3 linked regions of the Arabidopsis thaliana genome follow. The protein of the gene in region 1 interacts with the protein of each later gene in a pairwise test. Each region holds a gene or a part of one and is shown in the gene's direction. Other genes may lie near its edges. The genes, in order: TED6, AT4G10080 and AT4G13530.

Region 1 (4,305 bases):
TGAACCAACTCCTTTTGCATCATCGATTTAATTGTATCAAAGTTCACATGTCCTAGCCTTGCATGCCATCTACTTGATTCACTTATTGTTGTTAAGTGCAAACGTGTAGCTCCTTTTATTCCCATTCTTACTTTGTAAAGATGATTCTTCGATCTACACGCTTTGACAAGTAGTTTCCCATCACGATCATGCATCGTTAGTTGATCTCCTTTCATCGTAATGTTGCAGCCTGATTCTGTAGCTTGTCCTAAACTGATGATGTTGCTCTTAAGATCCAGAATGAAATAGACATTAGATACTTTTTGTTGATCACCGTTTCCTTTTATGTCGATACGGGAGTCATCTCTGAAATGTACTTTGCCTGAAACTGAATCATCCAATGTTGAAAATACCTTATATCCCCTGTCATATGGTTTCTAGCTCCATTATCTAGATACCATATGTTTTCTTCTTCGGTGTTTGCTTCATACATGCTTGGTACACAATTCTTCTCATTCAAAAATATCACCTCATGCATCATGAGCTCATCCGCTTCATGTGTCTCTTCTTTGTCATGTTCTTGCGTTTCCTGTAGCTTTAACAATCGATCAAGACATGTTGAAGCGTAGTGACCTAACTTGTCGCATCGGAAACACATTACTCTTGACGTATCTCTTCCTCCATATGAACGTCCACATCCTCTCCCTCTTTCATATCCTCTTCCTCCTCGACCTCTGCCCTGGAATCGTTTCCTGGATCTCGATTGTTTGAGTAACTTCCTTGAGAATCCATATTTGAATACAGAAGCTTGCTTTGGTCTTCTTGAGGATCATCTCCATCAAAAACATGCACGTTCTTCATATACTTTCAGCCGACCAACTATGTCATCAAAAGTTATGGTGTTAAGATCTAAGACTTGTTCTAGTGCAGCTACTATGTGAATGTATTTTCTTCGTGGAACACTCTTAAGAAACTTCTTAACAAGTCTTGATTCTTCAATAATTACACCTAAAGCAGCTGATTTTGCTGAGATCTCAGATAACTTGCCAGCAAAGTCATATATTTTCTCAGAATCCTTCATTGTTAATCGGTCAAATTCGGCCATGAGGGTTTGTAACCTAGCATCCTTGACTCTCTCTACCCCCAGATGTCTTGATTTGATTGCATCCCATACTTCTCTTGCTGTATCAAGTTCTCCGATTTGTAAAGCTAATGCTTCTGGGATTGATTGAAACAACAAAGCACAAGCAACATCACTCTTATCTTCATCAAACGGTTCTGTCACCTTGTCTATCATGTTCCAAGCTTTATGAACCTTTAGTGCCCTCTTCATCCTCATGGCCCATACCGTGTAGTTGATAGCGTTTAGCATAGGACATTGGATTGAAGAGGATCCACTAACTTCTTTCGTTGTTCTAGCTGCGGGAACGATATCACTCATTTCTTCTTATGATTGATTCAATAGCCTCACGCTCTGATACCAAATCTAGAGTTTAAGAAAGATTAAGAACTCAAAATATAAAGAATTACTCTCTTTATTACTTTAGGAAAATAGCTCAAAACCTAAAGCTCTCAATCTCACAATCTCTCTCAAAAGCTCATAAGTTATACCACACATTGGTATCTCCTTATATAATAGAGATTCAACATTATCCTAATCATTAGATAACTCCTAATGAATATTCTAGATAACTCCTAGAATTACAAGGAATTCCTTTTCTCTTAAATAAATAAATGACTTATTACTTAAGTCTTCTTCAAGCTTAATCCAACATATATTGCCTTCTTGGTGGGATAACATAGTTCAAAATACCGAGTTATTCATTGTTGGAATGACTGGTAGAGGTGAAGTTGTGTTGTCACCGTACTGTCTAGTACTAGAACCATGTTACATTGATTAATTCAACCTCGAGAGGAGGAGTTTCACAAGAGTTCAAATACAAGGTCTTGAAGTGCTTATAAGGGTACGAGAGTTTACACTTCTCTAGACTATGCTGAGAATTTGAAACTTATGTAGGGTTCAAATCTTATTTTTAAGCTTTTGTCTAGTTTTGGATAAAAGAACAAAATATCAAAAATCTTTTGTATGTTCATATATATTTTATTTTTTTTAATTAATATTTCATTACTTTTCTTTAGTATATGGAGTATTTTTATGAAACAAGAATTGTGAGAATTATGAATCTTACCTCTTACAATTCTTACATATTTTTGGATTACACCAACAAAATAAGATATTTTGAGCTGAGTGCCTGTTTTTCTTGGCTTTTACTCTTTTTTTTTTTTTTTAAACATTCTAGGTTAGCTTAACAAAAACAACAAGCAAACAAAACCTTAGGATGGGAGTTAAGTCATTACAAACTTAGCAGCAACCTATACTCTCAATACTCACTACAAATAAGCCCCATGATTCTCCATCTTCCTCAAACCATTTCCACCTCAAGAAATAAATCATCAGAGCCTCACACATCAAACACAAGTAATGGCCTCCACGGATTCAGTTTACCGTCCCACACCAACTCCAGACCATGACACTACTGTTGTAGTAGTTGTGTTTGTTTCTTTGGGTTGTGTCATGTTCTTGGCGTTTCTAGCGTTTGTTATCTGGTTCTTGATCAAGAAGAGATCCAGGAAGCACCGTGAGAGATCTGAAGCGGTTCGCGTGGATGAACACTTTAAGATGAAGGAAGCTATAGTCGAAGGACCTAATGGACAAAAGTCTGTGGTGTTATCAGTTGAGGATGATGTTAAGATCGAAGACGCGATCAAGAGAGAAGAGAAAGATCTGAAGAAAGATGGTGGAGTTGGATCATCAGTCGTTTCCCGTTCGTGAATGAGCTTTCTTCATTCATAATGTTACCTATCTATTTATTTATATTAAAATTGTGGTTGTGTGTGAATCATTTGTTTGGTGAAATAAAAAAAAAGCATCTGAAATATTTATTTAAATTCTTTGGACAAAGATGGTTCTTCAAACTTGGGTTGGTGAATGGTGATGGTTTTTATGTTCTAGGAGCGAACTTTTATCTCTATCTCTCTAAGAAAAGTAATCTTTCAAAAAAAACTGTAGAGAAATAAAATAGATAGTTGTTTTTGGTTAAAACAGATAATTTGTAACTGTAACTCGATAAGAATATTAATTAAAAAAAACATACAATGTCAAATGAAATCATACTTAAAATTGGACATTTTTCTATTTGAAAACTTGGTATTGGTATACTAACACATATACCATGTTAATCTTCTCATTATAGTTCTACTTAATATTTACCAAAACAAAACAAAAAAAACAATTATACGTATTTAATTAACAAAACAAATACATTAATTCTGAAGATGGAGAAAAAAATTGTGTCTTGATAATGCTAACTTACCAAGTCTCCATACATGATAAGAAAATTACACACACATATATATATATATATATAAATATGTCATATATAAGTTTATTTTTGAGCTAAATCTTCAAAAAGTTTCTATTGTAATTTCTAAGCTTAAACAAAAATTGATACATTCATTGTCTAATACTGTTCTGGTTGAATTCAATTTTATATTCAATTAAAATTAATATTTTCTTACCAAACATCACATTCATACATAAAATAAACATTGGAATTATCATTCTGAAACTAATACAACATTTAAATATTAGAAATCCTATAAAATAAAAATTCGTCCTTTCTTTTCTTTGTCAACCATAAGATCCAATGGCTCGTTGAATACGTAGTTACGTACAACTGGCATTCTCGTGTACAAAGTCACTAAAACAAAAACAAAATCCATTATAGATATTAAAACGACTAAATTTAATTATAGCAATAACAATTGAACAGCAAGATCACAAATTTAGAATTCAAGAGCTTAAAAAATTCATTAAAAGTAGAAAAATACAAAAATAATACATTAAAATTCAAAGTTCATATAATTGGAAGTAAAAAGAAATTTTTTTATCACTCTCAAGTTTTGTCTTAAATGGGACAAATTTAACTTTTTAAACAAAACCCACAGAATCTCAAACCAGTTAGCACCCCTTGTTTCACCCCACGGTTTGTTTAACGAACAACAGCCAACCACCAAATTACTATTATACCCTCATCACCATTTGACTATTTATTAGTCCACACTCTATAGTAGTTGTTACATTCAAAGAACTCCAAAGTAAATTAAAGTCTTCTCTACTTCACCATAAAAAATGCTTGCGCACAAGTCTCTTCTCTCCTTTACCACCCAATGGGCTACACTAATGCCATCTCCGTCTACTTTTCTCGCCTCTCGCCCCCGTGGACCGGCCAAGATCTCGGCCGTGGCAGCACCAGTGAGGCCGGC
Region 2 (6,320 bases), on another chromosome or scaffold:
CGCTCGAATCTATATTCTTCTAAACATCTCCAATGTCCATCTCTATTTTTTTTCTCCATTTAGAGGTGATTCTATGTTAGATACATTTTGCTTCAATATATGTCTCTAAAATAGATTTTTCTCTAAAATAAAGGAATCTTACGTTTTAATCTATATAAAGAGTAAAATCTATTTATTTTCTCTATTTTGGAGAAAAAAACTATTTTAGAAGAATACATTGGAGCAAAATCTAATTTCCTCTAAAATAAATTTGTCTCTAAAATGAAAGAAAAAAATAGAGGTGTGCATTGGAGATGGTTTTAGACCGTCTACTCTATTTTAACTGATACATCCCCTATATATTAATTGAGAAGTATTTTAAATAAAAAACCTTACATTCACGTGTGATTTACAAGACTATCATGCTGACATGTCGTAACCAGAAAAACTTTCAACAAACTTAATAGTTATCCAATATTTACTAGACTAATTACATATAATGCCATTAGTGGTACTTATGCATATTTTTCCTCTACATTTAAGAGAGTAGCAATTAATAAAGAAAATTAATCAAAAAACCATATATATTTGAGCAAACAAGTAAAAAGTATATATCATAAATTATGATGAACAACATATAATATAAATGTTTATTATATGTTTCGTACTTTATTTTTTTAGGTTTTATAGAAAACATTTAGAATTTTAACATATATGACATTCTATTTTTTTGTTATAAATTGCAAAAAATCTAAATGTATATGTGAGCCCATATGATTCTTGAATATATTCGGAACATAGTTTTACATAAATTAGTTAGTAACATTTCATTTATTACACATTCACTATGAACAATATTTCAATATTAATCTATGTTAAAAATGTATCCGCTTACTGATTACTTTCAATATTATTTCTTTTCAAATTTTTACCTTATCAATTTATTAAAACTTTTACACAGTTTATTCAATTTAATTAGTCATTTACTCATTTTAGTTAAAATTTATTTACAACCCAAAACCTTATCGTAACAATATAAATTGATTAATAAAATAAGGGATATGCAATAAATCAATCCTAACTACATAGAATTATGAAGAATAATAAAAGATAATCAAAAATTTATTACGTTTAAAACATAATTATTCATACTCTTTTCAGTTTTTATATTGAATTGTTTCCAAAATAAAATCTTATAAAATACAAAAAATATTCGAATATATTTCTGAATTATAGGAATGATATTTCAGATTTTCTTTTGGGTCAATATTTTAATTTAAAATCTTATTCCAAATATAGAATATCCTAATTCCTAACTAATAAAATCTCCAAAATATATCAGTTACTAAATCATATTCAAATATTCACACTTATATATCAAGTGATAATATAAAATCTGTTTCCAAAAACTTGTTTATATATTTCATATAACTATTTCTCCCTGTACATAGTTCGGGTAAATCATCTAGTATTTGATTAATTCATTTGATCTGCACCATACGATTCGTCGTGAACCCTAATTAAATCATTGTGAAAAACCAAAAAAATGAAAGAACAAAAGGAATAAATACCATACTTCTCTCAATCTACCAACCTTTAATGTCAAAAGATCTAGTTGAGTACTGAGAATGTTACGTGACCAATTAGATACCTCTACATAACTACTTCCTCAAAGTGGATAAGAACCATTCTTTTCGAAACAAACTAAACTATTAGAGACTAAACCATTTAATTTTGGAGCGGACAATAATCCGTTATAAACTAAATTTATTTCTATATAAAATCGGTCTAAAGTTTTTACCGATTTTTTTTTTCTATATTTTTGGTCAGTACTATTATAAATACTAATCTATAAATAATAAATAAGAAAATATTTCAATCTACCGATGGATTTATTTGCAAAACCCACCTCAACCGTTTGAATCTTGATTATATATATTTTTCTTACATCGTCTACTCTATTTTAACCGATACATATTTGTTTAATTCATTTGATCCGCACCATACGATTTATTGCCGAATCCTAATTAAATCGTTTTAAAAAATAAAATAAAAATGAAAGAACAAAATGAATAAATACTATAGTTCTCTGAATCTACTAAACTTTAATGCCAAAAAATTTAGTTGAGGACTGAGATTGACACGCAACCAATTAGATACCTCCACGTAATTACTTTCTCAAAGTGGATAAGAACCATTCTTTTCCATCATCAACCGCTCTAATTTGTTGCGATCCTTTTCCAATATTTGGGGTTTTATCCATTAGGGTTTCTGATTATTGCAATCCCAATCTGAAATCTTCGAATTCGATCATCATGGATGATTGGGAGCTTCTTCATCATGGCTCTGATACAGAATCAACTGATTCAATCACATCGGAGACGAAATTAGAGAGTTCAAGCGTAATCGATGACGGTATGATTCTTTCTGATCATTTCTCTGCTACTGATCGGGTGATTGAATCGGGTTATTTTGATTCTTTTCGGGTTGATTACGGGTCGGAGTGTCTGAATCCGGGTGAGGTTAGTGTTGATTCTGGTTTGGATCAGTTCAGTGTTAGTCAATCGGGTGATGATTGTGTCAGAAATGAATTTGGGGTTTATGATTCAGAAACTGGAATTTTGGGTGATGGTGAGGTTAGGCTTAGTGATTTTGAAGCTGCCAATGAGAAATATGTTGAGAGCGAAGCTGCTACTGAATTAACTGGTGGAACCGTATCTCACTATGAAACAGAGAATCTCGAAGAATTCGTTGATGGAAGGCACGGTGAGAACGAATCGGGTGTTGAAGAACCTATTGAGGATTCGAGCAAGTTGTGTTCTGATTTAGGGGGAAATGAATTGGTTTCTCGAGATTCTGGGGTTGTGAATGGTGAAAAAGAAGTTGTTTCTGATAGTGTAGTTGCTTCTAGTGAAGTAATTGAGGGAAGTGGAGGAGATACTGTGGAAGTTGGAGGCGTGAGTTCTGGTGGTGAGGGTAAAAGTAGAGAGACTGTGTGGTGGAAGATGCCATTTGTGCTTCTTAAGTACTCTGTGTTTAGGATTGGTCCGGTTTGGTCTGTCTCTATGGCTGCTGCTGTGATGGGTTTGGTTCTCTTGGGACGTAGATTGTATAATATGAAGAAGAAAGCTCAAAGGTTCCATCTTAAAGTTACGATTGACGATAAGGTACACTATATTATCATTGACCCTTGTGTTTTCATTTTGCTTGAAGTTGGTAAGCTGGTCTAGATTGATACGTTTTAGGAGTTAGCTACACTCTATGTTGTGTTGATGCAATTGGTCTGACTTGAGCCGTAGAATTTCAAGTTTAGTTTAGTTCTTGTCTTGTCCTGCCTTATATTAAGGTGGGGGTATTGGACGCATGAATTTGATAGACTTCAATAGAATCTTAAATTCTAGTGTTATTCAATTAGACATTTCACAAATTCTTTTAAATTCTTGTGTTATTTAACTTGCTCATTTCTTAATTCTATTAGTTGCAAGTGTTATTCAGTTTTCGGTAGTTTTGTTTGACAACGTTACTTCACAAGAATTTAATAGAAAAATTGGTCTAAAATGTGAAGAACAAATTCTGAGTTTTTGAGTTGAGATTTGGATAGAATATAACACATCCATCCTTTTTTTCTCTTTCATCGATTTGCTTCAACCATACAAAAAAAATTCTCAAATCTGAGGGAGAGTGTTTAACACATTTATTAGAATCTGTGATTTCGATCCGGTTTATTCTTCGGATCATCATTCGTTCGATTATATATGAGGAGAGTGCGTTAATCTATAGAGAGCAGATGAGCGGAGGTTGTGATGACGTCGTTGTCGTTGTTGTCAAAATATGGATCTCTTCCATTTCATGTAAACGTCAACGTAGATTGTTTCTGGGTTAAGAGGTTTGTGAAGGAAAAAGTACAGTTTTTAGAGATTGGGCATGGTGGCTGTCCCGATAAAGAGCATTGTGGAACAAAAGATTTCAGTAATTTATCTTCTTAATTCTAGTAGAATTCTATTAAAAATACTGCAAAATATTTATTTGAATTGAGAAGAAAGATTCGAAATTCTTTTATTATACCTGAAAATCTAGAATTTATGTCCAATACCCCCCTCTAAGATATAGATTTTGTAGTTAATATGTTCTTGTAATCTGTCTGAATTAAGTACAAAAATACTGAGGCATCATCCGCTGAAAATGCTGTGATTTGATATTTTCCCTTAGCGCACATCTCTTTGCTTGGTTGGTATTTGTTTGGTGTTGGTTTACTTCTATCATTATCACGTCTTGGGTTGTTTATGATCTGTGCAGAAGGCGTCGCGGGTGATGAGTCAGGCTGCTCGACTCAATGAAGTGTTCACAGAGGTAAGAAGGGTCCCTGTGATCCGCCCTGCTCTACCATCGCCTGGCGCATGGCCGGTTTTGAGCCTTAGATGAGAAGCCGTTTTCTACAATACCTAGACACAGTGGAGAATCAATCATACAATGTCCATCACTTTATGTACCGTAAGAATACAAATACATGTGTTTATGTCGTACCTATGCATAAGTAGTAGTTTACCATCTTATGAAATCGCGTATGTGAGTCGTGTCCCAACCGTGGGATACACTGCAGAGTGATTACCGTAGCGATTTATGTATGTTCAGAGACTGAAAATCCCAGTTGGTAAGCCTTTTTCTATGTTTGATCTTAAGAATTTCATAAGCTATATGTGGGTTTTGTTATGGATTTCATTGGGGTTTCAAGCTTGTAAACTATTATAGAGAGGAGGACATAGTCCAAAGTCGATAAAACCACTACAATGGAAATAAAGACCCTACAAATTTCTACTATGTTGTCGATTCTACAAAATTTGAGTAGAAGCTATCGTCTCAACAACATCCCCTCGACGATCAACAAAGAAAACATCATTATTTTTGATAACTTTAAAAAAAAAACTGGTAGCCCATTTTTAGGCCCAATAAAAGCCCGAACATTATAAATAGACGTTAAAGCCTTAAACGTTACTTCTCCACCACCGTTCAGAGTCGCAACCCAAACTCTTTTCACTGCCGGAGATAATTCTCTTCTTCCCCAAACCCTACAGTACTCAGCTTTCCCTAAATTCCTCGCCGGACGATTCGTTTCCAGATGACGGAGGAAGATTTTGTTGTTATCTCTACGCCGCCTGTCGATCTCAAGCGAAAGCTCGACGAAGTTGAGCTTAATGGAAATATCGTGGATGATAGCAATCAAACATCTGATTCTTCTCAGGCTAAACGAGCGAAGCTAGAAGATGAAGCTCAAGATGGTTTAGGTGTTTCTGTCTCTTTGGCTTCTTATAAACTAAAGTTTTGATTTTTATGATGTTCTATGGTTATAGTTTTCAAAAAAAGAGATTTCTTTGAGTTTGTTGATAAATCAGTCTTTCTCATTGTTGTTCTTCGGCCTTTGTTGTAGATTATGGGAATACACAAGAAAATGGGTCTTCAATGGAGGTAAAAGAGGAAGAACAGCTTCAGGAACCTAAGGAAGAGAATCAAGATTCTGTACCACTTGTTGAGGAAGTTCAGGATCCTATTCATGCTGATGAGTCTGAAAATAAGATTTGTAGTGTAGATCAGCCAACAGATGATCAGGTTAAGCCTGAGGATAACCAACAAGGTTGTATTGAGGATGTCAATGGTGGTGAACATCAGAAGGTGATTGATGACGATAGTAAGGAAGTGAATGATGGTAGTTCTCAAGAGAATGGTAAAGAAGAAAATAAGGAAGTGGATGGTGAAAAATCTCAGAAGGAGGTTGATGGCACACAGTCGACAACTCGTAGGATAGATGTCCCAAGTTCAAAGGTGATATGATTTGGTTTTCATTTTTGGCTGTTCTGTGAGTTTTTTTCTTTCGGAATACTTTCACTGACGTGCTTATCACAATGCTTTGCAGGTAGGTGTGTTGATTGGTAAAGGTGGGGAGACTATACGGTATCTTCAGTTTAACTCTGGTGCCAAAATCCAAATTTTGAGGGATTCAGAAGCTGATCCGAGCTCAGCGTTAAGACCAGTGGAGATAATTGGAAGTGTTGCATGCATTGAAAGTGCTGAGAAGCTTATCAGTGCAGTCATAGCAGAGGTTAACAGTTGTTTTTTTCAGTAGTTTTGGCATCTTTGTATCTGTAAGATATTTGGTTACAAGAATTTCTTCTCGTACTACATTAGGCTGAAGCAGGAGGTTCACCTGCCCTAGTTGCTAGGGGCCATCCTTCCACTCATGCGATAGGGATCCCAGAACAGATAGAGATTAAAGTTCCAAATGATAAGGTATTCCCTAGTTTATTCTTTCCAGCAACAATTTAATCATATCTAATTCAGCTTCAACT
Region 3 (6,113 bases), on another chromosome or scaffold:
TAACATGGGCCACATCAATTGGGCCTAAGAAGATAAAGATGGGCCACAACATTTAGGCCTAAAAGAAAATGACCTCAACATCAAAACTTCGACAGTCAGTCACTGTAACATTTTAGATCTTTCCCGAAGAAGAAAACGAAGAAGAGACGAAGAGAGAAATGAGGCCGATGCAGCTGGATATGTTATCGGAGATGGATGATGCAGGTTCTTCGATGGCCATGGACGTTGATGACCTCGAAGCCATGGAGATACTCAACGAAGGAGGACTTGTCTCAGATAACAAGCTCGCCGACGCCGATTTCTTCAACAAATTCGATGATGATTTCGATGACACCGATATCAACTAAATCCGGTTAAGTTTCCTCTTTAAGATTTCAGTTTTTTTTCCTAAACTTGATGTAATTTGTGGAGAAACCTATGTAGTAAGTGTGTAATAAGTTCTGGGATTTTTATGTTTGTGGTATGTAACAATGTTTTTCTTCATTTGGATTACTAAAACATTTGATTTGTGTGTTATTGTGCTTTGTCTGATTGTTTTTTTTGGCTCAAATTTAGAATGTTTTTTTTTTCCTTGGTTCTGGAGATGATGATGTTTTTTGGAGATTGAAACCTAATTTTCTTTAGTGTTTTGGTATTTTAGTAACTGAAAATTAGAGTCTTTGTATGTGAAGAATGTTGTGAATTTGTATGTGAAGAATGTGAAAGTTATTGATATTGGCTTAAGATAGAAACTAATTGATTCATTTGGTACCATATTCCATTGTGATTGCTTGTAATTTCAACATCTGAGGTCTCTGAAATATGTGTTGATGTGTTTCATTGTGTTGATATTCATGTGACTCACCGGGTCTAGAGAAACTTCCCGGTGAGAGATGAAATCCTCATGTAAGCTGTAACTTTCCACTAGTGATTAAGTGAACTAGGGAACTCATACTGAAGCACATATTCCTACCAACAATTTAATGGCCTAAGAGAAATAGTCTCTTGTATCTTCCATGTAACTCAGATACATCAGTCAATGATTTATATGGATATGGTATCTTGTTCCATGTTGATTTCTTGTAAATTCACCATCTCGTGGTCTCTGAATGTGTGTTGTATTGTGGTATGTGGGAGGGGGTGTATAATTCCTGTCTTGTGGTATGTAGGAGGGGGTGTATAATTCCCCTGGCCAAGTTCTGTTGTTGCATCGTGTCATATTATATTCTCTGGGCCGGTTTTGAGATGGAAATAATGTGCTTGATGTTCAACTATGGTAGAAAGGAAAAGGAGGCTAAGCATAAAGATGTCACTTGTCACTTTGTCAGTCCCTAGCAGTCTTTGTTACTTGCCTTATAGTCGTATGTATGTAGTGTAGCCAAATTTCATGAGATTTCAACATTCGATAGCAATTCATTAGATATCGGTAACCTCTTTTCAGAATCTCTTACTAATAAAAAAAAAGTTATTTGAGGCCTCTCACACTACCCACCTCAGCCTTTTAACAAATGTGTTCTCAAGTTGCCACGTCATCAACTCTCTCAAAAACTCCCAAATCTCTGCAAGCCACCATCCATGAGCCTCTTAACTTTCTTCTCCTCCCTACCTCAACCTTTATAAAATCTCCACATCTTGGTTTAATGACTAAACTCTAAAATTTTGAGTTATAAAAAAGAATGTTTGTTAAACTATGATATTAACGCTAAACATTTATTGAAAAAAAAGTTGGGTTTCGATTAATATTAAATATTTCCTATGTTTCTTAGCAAAAATAAATAAATATTTTCTCTGTTTTTTTTGTTTGATTGTTAGAAAAAAACACACAAAAGTAAATATATTAAAGTTGATTTTAAATATATTATATTTTGTGTTTTACAATTTTCTATCACTTTAAACCAATAAAATTTAATTATTTTTATTAAAGTTTACAATTCATTAATAAAAACTAATAAATATTACATAAAAATTTTAAAAAATCAATTTTTTTGAAACAATTTTTTTTTTCTTCAAAATCAACAAAATAGAACCGAAGGAATATGAATTACGCGGATTACAATTAAATTATCAATTCATCGATCACCTAATTTGAACGAGAAAAAACAAGTAAAAAAACGAAAAGTAAAATAGTAAAAAGTAAAAATACATTCTATTGGATTTGGTTCGGTATCAATAAATTATGATGTTCTTCACAAAATGCATTTATATGACGTGTTTGCTTCCTCTCCCTCCAGTTTCAAGTTGAGCATATCTGATTAGCAAAAGCGGTTGAAGGTCCTCTACTTCTCGGCCCACCGTAACAACATACACTGTCAATCCATATAGTTATCATAAACCCACACGTCAACGAAACCACTCTTTTGACTTCATCCTCTATCCAATCACACCACGCCACGTTAACACCACGACCTAGTGTTTCTGTGATCTCCACACAGAGAAAGAAGCGTTTCGGTTCTGTTTTCGCCCCAACACAAAGACTCCTTTTGTTTCTTTTCCTCAATTGGATCGAAAAAACCCCTAACTTTGACATGGAAGGAGAGATTCAAGACTGGGAAATACTTCAGAGCTCGAGATCTACCACGGAAGATGACAATTCGAGGAGCTTGGAGGAGATTGATGATGGCACGCAAGGTATGATTAGGTTTGATCATTTCTCTCTTGAGAACCAGAGTGGTTTGTCTCGTTTGGAGGCAAACGATGAAGATGGGTCTGTTCAATCGGGTAGTCCAGGATGGATCGAACCTAGCTCCGATGTTCCTTATGGTCCGAAGCATTTTAGTGAGTTATGGTCTGATTCAAGCAGTGATCGGCTTGATGATCAGAGGTTAGTGGATGATGATGTGAATAACGAGATGGGTATAGAGAGAAACGAAGTGGGTATTGTTGAATATAGTGAAAGTATAGCTCAAGACATGGATTTGATAAGCTCTGATGAGAGAAAGGAAGAATCTTTACTTCATCCAGTGGAAGGAGAAGGAAACTCTGTTTCTATTGATCCTGGTGTTAAATCTGGTGGTGGAGGAGGAGAAGAGAAAGGGTTTGTGTGGTGGAAAATTCCAATAGAGGTGTTGAAGTATTGTGTGTTGAAAATTAATCCTATTTGGTCTTTGTCCATGGCTGCAGCATTTGTGGGTTTTGTTATGTTAGGGCGTAGATTGTACAATATGAAGAAGAAGACTCGTTCCTTGCAGCTTAAGGTTCTTTTGGATGATAAGGTAACTAGCTTGGTTTATTTGATTGTTTATTGTTCTTTGAGTATGTTGATTCATGAGTCATGTGGTTACTGTATGATCTTTTGGTGTGATATGAGCTCTGCTTAGTTCAACTTTTACTGCTTAGTTAGATGTTTTATTAGTGTCAATTGTTGTTTTGATGGGGAAAATGAGAAGATCAGATCATCCCCTTGTTTGTCCTGGGACCAGTTTCTTGTTGCTAAGTAGTTTAGATGCAACCAGCGACTCGAGGTCATAGTATTCACCAACAGGCATACACTCGTACCCATTTACACTATCTTGCTAAGGGTTTTTGATATAGCACCACTGCATCGGTTGAGTTCTTGATAGATACTTTTGGCATAGAATGTGTAGTTGGTGAGAGCAGTGTTAATAGTCGTTAGAATACCACCTGGGTGATCTATTTCTTTGTCCGTCCTCTCTGTTGTTTCATCTCCTATAATGCTTAAACAACATATTTTTTATTTTTACATTTTGAGTTTGCATGTTCTTTCTAATAGCTAAAGGATAGTTGAAAGATCTTTAGACTAGTTTTCAGTAGTTATTCTTTGTAGATTTTTCATGTTGGTAGCCAGAGATGGAAGTTACTATATATTACGAATCTTATCGTAAAATGTTTCTTTGAGGAATGGATAAAAGTAGTGGTAAAACCTGAAAGTTTAGTTTAACTGATCTTCCACTGGTACAAAGCCTCAGTAAGGACCCAAGTTTGAATCCTGCTTACGGTTGCATATAACTTGGCGGATCAAATATGTCTTTTGCTGCTGAAATTCACGTTCTTGCTTGACTTGTATTCATCTTTTTCACTCATGGCAATGAAGAACAAAAGTTCTAAGTATTTCAGAACACAATTCGGAAGATTTTTACACCATCTGATTCTTGTATTGTCTGTCTTTTGAATGAAATACTTTTTTCAGAAGGTGGCGAATCATGCTGCTCGGTGGAACGAAGCAATCTCGGTAGTGAAACGTGTGCCCATAATCCGGCCAGCACTTCCGTCATCAGTGGGTATGAACCAGTGGTCCATGATGAGTTTAAGGTGAAAATTAAGTGAATTTGAGGGCATAATAATGCATATATGTGAGATTATATGATTTGATGTGGTTGGTGCATGTATCATATGATTGTATTAAAAATGTTACAAAAACATACAAAAAGATGCTTGTAAGTTTGTACTGTGTGTGTATATATTGTTACTTGCTTGGTGGAATACAAATTGGATCAGAATCATAGTGCAGTTTTGGAAGGTTGCGGTCAGAATCTAACCTTGATAAGCTTCTGAGCTGGTCTTAGTAGGCAGTGTCGTAAAGAGATTGTACAAAGACAAAAGCCAATAACGGAATTTTGGTTGTTTATTTAGAAAGTACGACTCTTTAAGATATGAAAAGGGTTAAGACAAAAACCCAAATTAACAGGGAAGTTCACGTGAAGAGGGCAATGTTTCTGATTGATGTAGCCATGTAGGAGTCTATCTTTCACTTTATAGCTATCCTAAACTCTACGATGTCAATTGTGATTAGATATATGTCTCTTCTTCTTGTTTCTTTGTCTTCTTTCACTCTATTATTCGTTGACCATTGTACCACCAAAGTTTGGTATACTCACTTATCATACTTAAATCACAAGTGAGTATTGTAAGGAACTAAGGATCCAAAGCTAAAGCATACTCATGAAGTTTAACTATTGACGTTTAACGGAAATAAAGCAAACCAAAATTCGAACTTCAAGATAAATCTACCCATTGTCTTCACGTAACATACTCAAATTTTGGTTTGCTATGTTTGATTCGGTCTATAAAAACACAGACAATAACTTAAGACCTATGTAACAATTTCCTCCATGAGAAGAAGACAAATTAGACCAAAAGTTTGAGAGAAACCTATAAAACCTACAAATATTGGGAAGAAAAAATAGGAGTAAATAGGTATGGGTCCATGTTAATGATGCATGTGACAAACAATCAAAGCCCACACCATTAATTGGAGATTGAAGAAAAAACACTGCTTTTCATATTCTGTAACACCACTTCAATTCCTTTTTCTCTTGTTTCCTATTCAGTACTATGTCCTGAGAGTGCCCATAACTTCTTTTGTCTTTTTATCTCAGTTTCCATAAGAAATAATCAACTCAAGCCACAATGTGTGTTTGTGTGATTAGTTTTGTGATAAGACATTCCATAATTTTCCTATTGTGTGTTTAGGATAAGTGAAGATGCTTTTGGTTTGGACCATATTATATAAATAACATGTGTCTGCAATGCCGCAAAGTGGAGCTTTCTTCACTCACAATAATCATTTTTTTTTTTCATTGAATGAAACAAACAAGACATTCAAAATAGAACAAAAGTTCTACAGAGATAGAGAGAGAAAGAGAGCTTTTCTTCATGGGTGGTTCTACAAGCAAGGATGAGAGAAACAGTAGTAAGAGACGCATCAAGGTGAAAGCAAATGAACAGAGAAGGAGAGAAACAAGAAGAGAGCTTGATGAGAAAGAGAGAGTGATTTTGGCGTTGAAGATGGCAGAGACAGAGTGGAGGAAAGAGAGGAAGAGACTGAGAGAGGAAGTGAAGAGGCTGAGACAGAAGATGGAAGAGAAGGAAGAAGGAAAGGCGAAACAACACGAGTGGGAATGGGTCGTGGAACAGATGTGTTTAGAGAGAGCAGTGAGGGAAGAAGCTGTGGAGAGGTGGAAGCAGCTCTACTTTGCTATCAAGAATGAGCTTGATGATCTCATCCACACAACATATGGTAAGACCTTTCACAAATAATCTCATCTTTGATGTTTTGAGAAAGGAAGGTAATGAGTTTTTTTTTTCTTTTGTAGGAGAGGCACTGAGACAGAAACCGCAAGAAGAAGTTGCAAAGGCAGTGCAAGAACTCAGAAAGGAAGTTAAAGCTAGGGGAG

Evidence for each region.
Region 2: the proteins of TED6 (region 1) and AT4G10080 interact in a protein complementation assay, tested with the Arabidopsis thaliana proteins (one large-scale study listed by BioGRID).
Region 3: the proteins of TED6 (region 1) and AT4G13530 interact in a protein complementation assay, tested with the Arabidopsis thaliana proteins (one large-scale study listed by BioGRID).

The regions. Positions count from the first base shown.
Region 1 is NC_003070.9:16,573,491-16,577,795, forward strand, and holds TED6 (tracheary element differentiation-related 6), read left to right. Parts: upstream 1-2,268; 5' UTR 2,269-2,461; coding exon 2,462-2,812; 3' UTR 2,813-3,051; downstream 3,052-4,305. Other genes in the region: FTM1 (Plant stearoyl-acyl-carrier-protein desaturase family protein), read left to right, coding at 4,172-4,305. UniProt on the Arabidopsis thaliana protein: Involved in the secondary cell wall (SCW) formation of vessel elements (e.g. protoxylem and metaxylem), thus promoting tracheary element (TE) differentiation.
Region 2 is NC_003075.7:6,298,535-6,304,854, reverse strand, and holds AT4G10080 (uncharacterized protein), read left to right. Parts: upstream 1-2,110; 5' UTR 2,111-2,294; coding exon 2,295-3,146; intron 3,147-4,275; coding exon 4,276-4,401; 3' UTR 4,402-4,836; downstream 4,837-6,320. Other genes in the region: AT4G10070 (KH domain-containing protein), read left to right, coding at 5,096-5,261, 5,405-5,796, 5,888-6,073, 6,160-6,261.
Region 3 is NC_003075.7:7,864,304-7,870,416, forward strand, and holds AT4G13530 (uncharacterized protein), read left to right. Parts: upstream 1-2,024; 5' UTR 2,025-2,504; coding exon 2,505-3,191; intron 3,192-4,126; coding exon 4,127-4,252; 3' UTR 4,253-4,873; downstream 4,874-6,113. Other genes in the region: SMAP1 (small acidic protein 1), read left to right, coding at 159-347; AT4G13540 (golgin family A protein), read left to right, coding at 5,593-5,956, 6,033-6,113.